Macaca fascicularis: one gene and its partners. The protein of the gene in region 3 interacts with the protein of the main gene of each other region in a pairwise test. Links are inferred from orthologs where the notes say so. Each region holds a gene or a part of one and is shown on either strand. Other genes may lie near its edges.

The links. The genes of interacting proteins can lie anywhere in the genome.
Region 1: the proteins of KIFC3 (region 3) and MFAP1 interact in binary tests that used the Homo sapiens proteins (3 or more experiments, as listed by UniProt). The two-hybrid records come from large-scale screens. The link is inferred for Macaca fascicularis from reciprocal best matches to the Homo sapiens genes KIFC3 and MFAP1.
Region 2: the proteins of KIFC3 (region 3) and GMCL1 interact in binary tests that used the Homo sapiens proteins (3 or more experiments, as listed by UniProt). The two-hybrid records come from large-scale screens. The link is inferred for Macaca fascicularis from reciprocal best matches to the Homo sapiens genes KIFC3 and GMCL1.

What each region holds. Positions count from the first base shown.
Region 1 is NC_088381.1:20,401,579-20,405,096, forward strand, and holds part of MFAP1 (microfibrillar-associated protein 1), read right to left. Parts: intron 1,905-3,518; coding exon 1,685-1,904; intron 1-1,684. UniProt on the Homo sapiens protein: Involved in pre-mRNA splicing as a component of the spliceosome.
Region 2 is NC_088387.1:52,099,674-52,103,191, forward strand, and holds part of GMCL1 (germ cell-less protein-like 1), read right to left. Parts: intron 2,657-3,518; exon of another isoform or gene 2,626-2,656; coding exon of another isoform or gene 2,593-2,625; coding exon 2,480-2,592; intron 1,599-2,479; coding exon 1,533-1,598; intron 1-1,532. UniProt on the Homo sapiens protein: Possible function in spermatogenesis. Enhances the degradation of MDM2 and increases the amount of p53 probably by modulating the nucleocytoplasmic transport.
Region 3 is NC_088394.1:53,868,191-53,871,708, forward strand, and holds part of KIFC3 (kinesin-like protein KIFC3), read right to left. Parts: intron 3,191-3,518; coding exon 3,009-3,190; intron 1,799-3,008; coding exon 1,694-1,798; intron 53-1,693; exon of another isoform or gene 1-52. UniProt on the Homo sapiens protein: Minus-end microtubule-dependent motor protein. Involved in apically targeted transport. Required for zonula adherens maintenance.

The DNA of each region.
Region 1 (3,518 bases), on a different chromosome or scaffold from region 3:
GTGCAGATTAAAGGAACTAGACTAGGATGTCAGAGCAAATAGCCAAGTTTGGCCTGAAATACTAAACGTATGTTGAGGCATCCTAAGGCACCACAGCAAGCCAGCAAACTCATAGGGATGCATTGGGATTTTTTTTTGAGACAGAATCTCACTCTGTTACCCAGGCTGGAGAGCAATGGCGTGATCTCGGCTCACCACAACCTCCCCCTCCCAGGTTCAAGCGATTCTCCCTGCCTCAGCCTCTTGAGTAGCTGGGATTACAGGCGTGCACCACCACACCCGGCTAATTTTTGTATTTTTACTAGAGAGGGGGTTTCGTCATGTTGGCCAGGCTAGTCTTGAACTCCTGACCTCAGGTGATCGCCTGCCTTGGCCTCCCAAAGTGCTGGGATTACAGGCGTGAGCCACCGAGCGTGGCCTGCATTGGGATATTTTCAATAGCTCAAGGTAATTCAGTTTCAACATTAAGTCATATTACATTCCTTTTGAGAATATCGTATCTTCGTGAAATTGGGTTTTGGTGGCTGCTGTGGTAAAAAGTACAGTGTGAATATCAATATAAAACAAGACATGAAAAAGTGACAGTGCTGATTCCAAGGTCTGCAAGGCTGTCAGTGTCCAATAGGCACACAAATTCCACTAGTAACTGTGGTTATGTGAGAATGAATAAAAGTGTTTTTTTCCCCATGGGCACTGTAATTTTATTTATTTTTTCTTTTTTCTTTTTTGAGACGGAGTCTCACTCTGTCACTCAGGCTGGAGTGCAGTGGCATGATCTCGGCTCACTGCAACCTCCGCCTGCCAAGTTCAAGCAATTCTCTGCCTCAGTCTCCCAAAGTAGCTGGGATTACAGGTGCCCACTGCCATGCCTGGCTAATTTTTTTGTATTTTTAGTTGAGATGGGGTTTCACCAAGTTGGCCAGGCTGGTCTTGAACTCCTGACCTCGTGATCCACCTGCCTCGGCCTCCCAAAGTGCTACGATTACAGGTGTGAGCCACTGCGCCCGGCCATGGGCACTGTAATTTTCAAGTGGCAAAGTTATTAGGACATAAATACTTATTAAGTTACTTGGCTCTAACTACTTACTAACTAAAATAAACAGAACTGTTTTGGCCCAGGAGCTCTGTGAAAAAACCCCTGGGACAATTATGAACGGTGAAAGTTCAGGACCCCTGGTCTGCTCTATTAAGGTAATGTCTCAATCAGTATATAACATACAAAATCCCTCACTGGGAGACTTTCTACAATGAGACCTTTATGAGGTCTTTTCTCCTGCTTCAGTGTCATTTCCCCTTATTAGCATTTAGAATAAGCAGATGTATAAAATCAATTTACCAAAGTTTATAAAACATCTTTGTGCTAAAAAGACTCCCCTCAACAGCCAACGAATGGTCTGTGTTTTCTATTCCCGTAAGGAGTTGAGTAGGTCCTTTAGGCCAGAAGTAACCTGCTGTTTTCTGAAGCTGCCACTTTGTAACTTTGGTCATGTAACTTTCTTAGCCCCTTTGTGCTCTTAGTTTCCTCTTTTGTGAAATGGGGATAATAGCACCTATTTCATAAAGCTATTGTATGGATTACAACAATTAGCAAATGTCAGCTACTTGGCAGTACTATTCAAGTATTAGCTATTATTATTAAGCTGTAGAGGTTCATGTTCAAGTAAAACACAATCACAGACATTACCTCTCTTCCACATCTTCACTAATACGGTTCTGTAAACGCCGTAGCCGGGGGTCACTAGATGAATCCTCCTCCTGTTCCTCAGGCTCTGCTTCTTGTTCTTTGGCTTTCTTAATGAACTGAAATTCTTCATCTTCCTCATCTGAGGACTCCATAGGGGCATAGTCTGGCCTCTTTCCGGACACATAACGCTTTACCTTCACTTTTTCCATTGAAATCTCACCTGGGTGAGAAAAATAACTATGTTTCAGTAGCCTGTTTCTCAATGTGCTTCATCCCATTATGGCCTTTGCAAATAGAGCCCTTTATTCATAGTAGACAAGAGTCTAAGCAGGAGAAGAAAGAGCCACTACCCAACCATCTATTCATCTAATAGTGTTTTCCTACAAAGGCCAAGTCACGAGACTGCCTCCTTGTGAAAGCCAACACTGATGATAATGAGGCTTACCTTGAGTACAATGAAGTGGAGGAAGGCAGGCAGTGAAACAGTAGAAAAAAGTCCCCCGCAAAAAGGCAGACTGCATCCATCACAAATTCATGGCATCCCACCTCAACTATACCCTTAAACAAATTATTTGTAACAGTGCCCACCACATAGTAAGGATGATTTCTGCAGGAACATAAAACTAAAATGCTGCTCAGGCATTCTTGTAGTTCCCTCTGGGATTTCCACGGCAGCCTTTATAACATATTACCACATGACTCAATATTCTAATCTTACTTATTTCTACCTTCTTTTCCTTTACCTTATGTGTTATCAAACCTGCAAGAGTAGGTAATCTGTTATAAATACAATTCTTTTTTTTTTTTTTTTTTTGAGACGGAGTCTCACTCTGTCGCCTAGGCTGGAGTGCAGTGGTATGATCTCGGCTCACTGCAACCTCCGCCTCCTGGGTTCAAGTAATTCTCCTGCCTCAGCCTCCTGAGTAGCTCGGACTAAAGGCATGCGCTACACCATGCCCAGCTAATTATTTGTATTTTTAGTAGAGATGGAGTTTCATCGTGTTAGCCAGGATGGTTTCCATCTCCTGACCTCAAGATCCGCCCACCTCGGCCTCCCAAAGTGCTGGGATTACAGGCGTGAGTCATAGCACCCAGCCTACAAATATAAACAATTCTAGTGAACAAAGAGAGACAGTGAAAACTAACCAACTTATTTTATGAGTATAACCTTGATAACCAAATTGGACAGTTCAAAGGAAAACTTTAGGTGGATTTCACTTACAAACACAAATACAAAAATATTAAATAACATAAGAGCAAATTTATCCCAGCGATATAAAAACTACCAAAAAAAAAAAAACCCGAAACAAAAAACCCCTAAGCCAACACAACTTATTAGAATTTAGCTCAAGACTACAAGAATAGTTTAACCTTAGAAAATTAATGAGGGGGCCAGGTGCGGTGGCTCATGCCTGTAATCCCAGCATTTTGGAAGGTTGAGGCAGGAGGACTGCTTAAACCCAGGAGTTCGAGACCAGCCTGGGCAACAAAGTTAGACCTTGTCTTTACTAAAAATAAAAAAATTAGCTGGGCATGGTGGTGTATGCCTGTGGTCCCAAGCTACATGGGAGGCTGAGGTGGGAGAATCACTAGAGTCCAGGAGGTTAAGGCTGTGGCGAGCCGTGACCACAGCAAGGCACTCACTTCAGCCTGAGTGATACAGTGAGAACCTGTGTCAAACACAAAAATATATATAGCTGGGCACAGTGGCTCATGCTTGTAATCCCAGCACTTTGGAAAGCCAAGATGGGCAGATCAGTTGAGGCTACGAGTTCGAGACCAGCCAGGCCAACATGGCGAAACCCCGTCTCTACTAAAAATACAAAAATTAGGC
Region 2 (3,518 bases), on a different chromosome or scaffold from region 3:
AAGTTCCCTGACAGCAAGAGACCATGACAAAATCATCTCTGCATCCTTCACAGCCACAAACAGAGTATCTTTACATAATGAACAGTTAGGAAGTACTTGCTGCAGGAATAAATGGATAATATGCGTACTTAATCCAAAAAGCCAAACTAAGCTGGGTGCAGTGGTATGTGCCTATAATCCCTGCTACTTGGAGGCTGAGGTGGGAGGACTGCTTGAGCCCAGGAGTTTGAGTCTAGCCTGGGCAACATAGCAAGGCCCCCATCTCTTTAATAAAGAAAGACTGCTATATAGCTTGGGTGGTGGGCAGTCCTCATTGTCACCGCCATATATCTTGTAGGTTTTTAGAACCCTGGAATCCATTTCTCATGGGTGACTGCGGTCCTATTATTCCAGCTTGGACTACATGGTCCACAGGTGACAGAGAAATCTTGGCCCTCTGGCTCCATCTCCAGGACCTCTGGCTCTGTGCTGTGCTGTGTGCGACCGGGTCCCGCTTGAAGATGAAGGCAGTGCAGTTGACTGTGGGAGCCTCTGCAGCCCCAGCCTGAAGCCTGCATGGGACCCTGTGTGGTGCTAACAGTTTTTTTTAAAGGAAGACTGCTATTTTCTCAAAGAGAGGGGACGTCACTATCTTGCCCAGGATGATCTCGAACTCCTAGATTCAAGCAATCCTCCCAACTTGGCCTCCCAAAGTGCTGGGATTACAGGTCTAGGTTTTCCTAAATCTGCTTTTCTGGTAGAGAAACCCTGAGGACTGATTGGCTTTTGATTGTCTAAAACCATGGCCTGCGAATTCGTAACATTCAGGGACATGGCCATAGACTTCTCTCATCAGGAGTGGGAATACCTTGACCTGGTTCAGAAGACCTTGTACCAGGAGGTGACAGTGAAGAACTATGGTAACTTGGTCTCAATGGGGTCTCACTCACACTGAGGCTGGAGTGCAGTGTCGCAATCACAGCTCACTGCAACCTTGACCTCCATGGCTCAAGCAATCCTCCTGCCTCAGCCTCCAGAGTAGCTGGGATTACAGATTTGAATTCAAGGAGTGAAATAATCAGAGACGGAAAAATGTACATTTATAGGAGCCACACATTTGTTACGCCACATCAGAGAATTCATTCTAGTGAGAAAACCGATCAACATGAAAAGTTTTTGAAGGTTAAAAAAAAAAAAAAAGGCCAAAACAGTTTCTTCAAACTTATTTCTCAATAATAAAGATGATTTTTAAAATATACCTTTTAAATTCTCTAAAAGTCTGGCAAAACCTGAAACTTTTCTATAGTCTTATAACAGTAATGCATTTTTCTATTAAAATTGGTTAAAACGGTAGACATAATATCCATTATATTATTCACAACAAAGAAATAAGTTTGTGTAGCATTTCTTCAGCTTATGGATGTAGTCAAGCCCTTTCATTAAATTGTTTGCTTTTTCATATTTTTGTGTTCTACAAAAATGTTACGTACTTTAACAAATGATAAACAATATTTTAGGATGACTAATTATAAAGTTACTTGAAATTCAAATACCTGAGTTCTTTAAAAAGTTCAACATTCTGGTGAGTCATCAAATTGTTTAGAAGCCATTCAAGGCACCTGAAATTAAAACATATAATTATTATATTATATACCATGTATTTACAATTTATTAAGTAGGACTTATAGTTAAAATCAGAATATTAATCTTGCCAGAACATGCTCAAAACTTTTAACTTAACAATAGGAAATTTAGTATTATTTTTGTCAGTGGATATTATTAAGAGAATATTTCCTTTATATTAATGAGAGCATTTCTAGTTTTAAAACTTCATTTTGAGTTTGTGTTAAATAGTTTATCAAGGGGTCTGCATAGTACTATAACCTTTAAAATCTCAAAACAGGTACTGCAACTTTCAAGAGTTAGAAGGACTGTCAGTCATTGCAATGATATAATGTCTATCAGGCCTACTTCTTAAACAATTTTAATAGAAAATATACTATAAAGTGCAGTGGCATGATCACAGCTCACTGCAGTCTTGAACCTCCTGGGCTCAAAGAATCCTCTGACCTCAGCCTCCAGAATGGCTGGGACCACAGGTGCATGCCACCATGCCTGGCTAATTTTTTAAATTTTTTGTAGAGATGGGGTCTCCCTATGTTGCTCAGGCTGGTCATGATCTCCTGGGCTTAAGTGATCCTTCTGCCTTGGCCTCCCAAATCACTGGGATTACAGGTGTTAGCTACTACACCTGACCAAGAGTGACCAAGGTTTTTATAAGCATATATATAACCCATATGGTCACTGACAAAGGCAATACTTTTGAGGAATTTACTAATTAGTCCAAAAGTTAAAATGGGCTTTTTATTTAACAAAATTCCATTCCCCTATCCTAATTTTCCTTAATTCTTTCCTTCTTATAGCTATACATTCTCTTAAGAAACTAAAGCAACCAAATTCCTAAAGTGGGATAGGAAGAAAAATGAGAAAGGTAACTCACTTTTTCTTTACAGAATCTAATCCATAGGTCCCTGCTGATGTGTAATAGCCACATACAGTTTTCACATTAATTGTTTCCTTCATTGTCTCACCACACTGCTGTATTAAACCGTCCTGTAAATATAAATAAGCACTGGAAAGGCCCATTTCACGTGGGAAAAATTAGCTCTGATATGTGCTTTTACATATTAAAAAGGAAAAAAAAAAGAAGAAAGAAAAGAAAGAAAACTCATTAAGTGCAGCAAACCTAAGTTTTGTGTTTTTTTTTAAACAAGTCCAATAAAAATACTGAAAAAAATTCAGCAAGTATTCAACTAAATACTTGGAATTTGAAAATGGAAGGTGGGGGGAGCAGTCAGGTAGAGATGAATACTGCTATTCTTTTTCTTTTCTATTCTTCCCTCTCTGAGACCTTTGCAAATTTCTTTAGCAGCATTTTGTCTGTTTTGCCATTTCTTTTTAAATTAAGAAGTCTACATAGTCAGTTAACCATGTCATGGGCCTAAACAAATAGTATGCATTAGCAGAAAGTAATTATTAAGTTTAAAATAACTACAATATCTAAGAGACACACCTAAAACAAGTATATTGTTATTTTAAATTATGAACATTAAAGTTTTAACCTAAAATGTTTATATAGGTTTTAAGCGAACTAACTTTAATATATGGAAAGAATACTATTTTCGTTCAAATTTCTGAAATATATTCATCATGCAGGTATATTAAGTTAAAGAGTTAGTAAATCATAAAAGTAACGCCGAAAGTGAATTTAGAACAAAATCAAAAGGACCAGAGTTAGAAAATAAAGTATACTTATTGGAAATAAGTATTGAAAGGATCAAAACATTTTGAAAATCAAATGATCTCAACCAAGGATATTTAGCAAGCTATTAACTAATATTTCAAATGAATCAGTACAAAAATACCACACAAAAGTTAAACAATTTTTTAAGATTAAAATAAAACATTGACTCCATTAGGATTTTCAACTTACCTGGAAATCATTCTAGACTCCTCCCCTTTCCTCTTAACACTTAGTC
Region 3 (3,518 bases):
GGCAACTGCACCTCTATTTCCCCACCATTAAAATGGTATCGCCCTGCCAGGACTACCCTGAGACTCATTGTCCAGCACTGGGGTGAGGGGCCTGGCCCAGACCCCACATAGGCCAGCTGACGGCCAGATGCATGCCTGGCCCTGTGGGGCCACCTGGGAGGGGTGCTGGAAATGAATGACCCCACCACTGCCCAGAAAGGGGCTCAATCTCAGGGAGGCTGAGGCCTGGGCTCTGTGGGTGGTGGAGAGGAGGCACAGGGAGGAGTGGACCAGTGTCCTGGGGCAGGAGGGGTGGGCCGGCCTTTCTAGAAGGAAACCTGGAGTCCCTACCTGGGCCCTCGAGGCCCTGGGAGCCTGGCCCTCGCCCTTCTTCTGACAGTATCTCTCACCCTCTCTTTATTCCTGCCACAGGGGCCTCCTGGTCAGGCCTCAGGTGCCCCTGGCATGCTCTGGCCTCTTGGCCTTGGCCCTGCAGCTCCCTCTGCCCTGGGTGCTCCTCTGACCTCCCCGTGGTCGGCTCTGTCATCTCCCTCAGGGAGGCTGCTCCTTCGCCCAGCACCCCCAAACGCCCTGTCCCTCCCCCTAGTCAGTTCCACATCCCTGGCTTTATTTTTCTCCCTGGCCTGACAGGACACTTGCTGATTTATGTGGACTGTGTTGCCTCCCCACAGCCAGGTTGGCCCTGTGGGGAGGGCCCCCTGTGGAGGCAGGGACTGTTTGGGTCAAAGCTGTACCTGGCACAATGCCCGATATGCCTCAGGCATCAGCAGATACGCTTGAGGACGAACGCTGATGTTTCTGGTGGTCAACTCAACTCTAAGCAATCCCAAAGCAGAACAGGGAGCCCAGGGGATGCTGCACACACCCCCTTCCTCCTCCCACCTGGCCTGGCCTGCCCCCCACTAACTAGTCTCACTAGTTCCAGAATTGAGGGAACAGCAGAGTCCAGATGGGAAATAGAGGGCCGCCATGACAGGCTCCCTGCCCAGCAGGCCTGGCCAGCCCTTTCCCCTGCCCAGATGCCGTACCACCTGGCCTCCTTCTGACCTAGGGAATCCCACAGCACCCCCTCAAGAGTCAGGGCTAGCTTTCCACTGCCCTCTGCCCACAGTCAAGATCCTTCCTCATCTCAATGCCCCCCTCCCTGGCCAGCCACCTGCTCCACCACACCTGGGAGGGCGCCGGTGACAGGCAGGGAGAGGAAGCCTTGGCCTGGCCCCAGGGGCCACCAGCAAGAGCTGGGCTCCCCACCACAGCCTTCGCATGCCAGTCTTGCCCTGGGATCTCCTTGAGGACTGAGACCAACCACTCATCCCAGATCCCCCAGGCCCGGCCAAGGCAGCCATAAAGCAGGGGCGTGCAGTGCACAGTCAAGGTGAAATGCAGCCCCGGTCCTGAGAGAGGTGGGTGGCCTGCCCTGGACTCTGTCCCCAGGCCAAGATCCCTGTGATGACAGACCCCCCTTGCCTCTTCCCCAGTCCTGCTGGGCCCATTGTGGGTACCGTTGGGCAAGGGGGCCCCCTCTTAAGGCCTGGTGCCTTGGGGCTAACACAGATAACTACAGCCTCTGCTCCTGAGTTGTGAGGACCAAATGAGGCAAAACACACACTGCACAAAACCCCAAGACCAATGAAGGAGCCCGCATTCCCTTCATACCTCACTGTGAACCCCCACCCCGTGGGGCAGCACCCACCTCCATCGTGTATGTCTTGCCGGCACCCGTCTGGCCGTACGCAAAGATGCAGACATTGAAGCCATCGATGCAAGAGGTGATCAGGGCCTGCACCTCCTGGAACACCTGGGAAGATGGTGGCAGGGAGGCTGGTGGGGGGCTTCCAGGGCCACTGGGACCACCAGCTACAAGTCCAGCCACCTCCCCAACCATGCTGTCCTTCAGCAACACCACAGCACGTGTTACTGCAGTCACTCAGCTCACAATGATTCGTGATTCGTGAGTCATATGTTAGACATCAGTGGGCAACTGGGCCGCCCAAAGACTGCAGGGAAGACAGGCTGGTGCCTGCTGCCCTTCCCCCAGCTCCTCCTGCTCTCTCTCAAAGAGCGCTCAGCACAAGGAAGGCAGAGGCCAGCACATGCCTGGGGACTCTCTGGCCTGGGCCTGCCTGCCAGCCATCAGCGGATGGGGGCAAAGACAGAACCAGACATGAGAACAGGAGGGCACAGGCCTTGGTAGGGCTAGCAGGTTGGTCTGGGCAGAGACAAGGGAAGAGTGGACACTGAGAACACATGGTTCTCATACAGCCTCTGGGGGTCGGGGGATTCCTAGGAAGGCCCAGGGGACTGATACAGGAGGGTACTCCCAGATGGAGAAGATGGGCAGGGTCATGAAGACAGATGGGGCCATGTGGGTGGGCAGTCACAGCCATGAGGGTGGGAGGGGCTGTGATAGTGGGAGGGGCCTGAAGGTGGGTGAGGCCACATGGTGGGAGGGGCCTGAGTGTGGGTGGGGCCATGCAGATGGAGGGGCCACAGCATGAGGGTGGGATGGGCTGTGATGGAAGGAGGGGCCTTGAGAGTGGGCAGGGCCATGCAGTAGAAGGAGCCACGTGGATGGGAGGACCCAAAGCCATGGCGGTGGGAGAGGCTGTGGGTGGGGCCATGTGGTGGAAGGGACTGGATATAGGAGGGGCCACATGGTGGGAGGAGCCATAGCTGAGAGAATGGAATGGGTTATGATAGTGGGATGGGCCTTAAGGGTGGGCGGGGCCACATGGTAGAAGGGGCCTTGGGGATGGAAGGAACCACAGCCATGGGAGGGGATGGGCTGTTTCTGGATCTCTCCTTCCAAAGGAGGCTTCTAAGGCCTTCAGTCTTAACTTCCCACCCTCTTCTGTCCTCCAGAGGAAGGTGCGGGACCCTGGCTCCCCACTTCTGATTCCTGTACCCCCCACTCTTATGCTTCTTCCTGCCCAGCCCCTCTCCCTCCCTGTGAGTCCGTCTTTCCCTCTCTCCATTGCTTTCCCTTTCCCGCATGGGGCCACACTCACGTCCTGCTGCGAGGCCTGTGGGGAGAACACCTTGTCCAGCTCGAAGGACACAGGCTTTCCCTTGTGCAGCAGGTGGATGATGGAGTCATCGTCGGCATCGAAAGTCACAGCATTGGTGGCCTCAGGTCCTTCCCCATCCTCTTTGGTGACTGGCCGGACACGAGCAATCACTCGGATGTTCCCTGGGTTGGTTGCGGATGGGGAAATGGGCCCAGGCCATGTCAAGACCAGTCTCCACTCTGGTCCACTGGTGTCCCAGGCAGACCAGTTGGCCTAGGAGTCCCCTGACTTTTAAGCACAGCCCCCTAGGGGAAGGGGGCCCACAAAGCTGTTATCCATCATTCACACTATAGTATGCATTCACTTAGTACATTTCTTCTTGAACAGACCAGCTGACTGGGGTGGAGCTCTGCCTTGGGGATGGGGAGGAAAGATCAGCTGTGGGGCTCAGGCACTGCACCCAGTCAGGATGAGACGCCAGAACGGATACTCTCTTTTCCTCCCTGGACT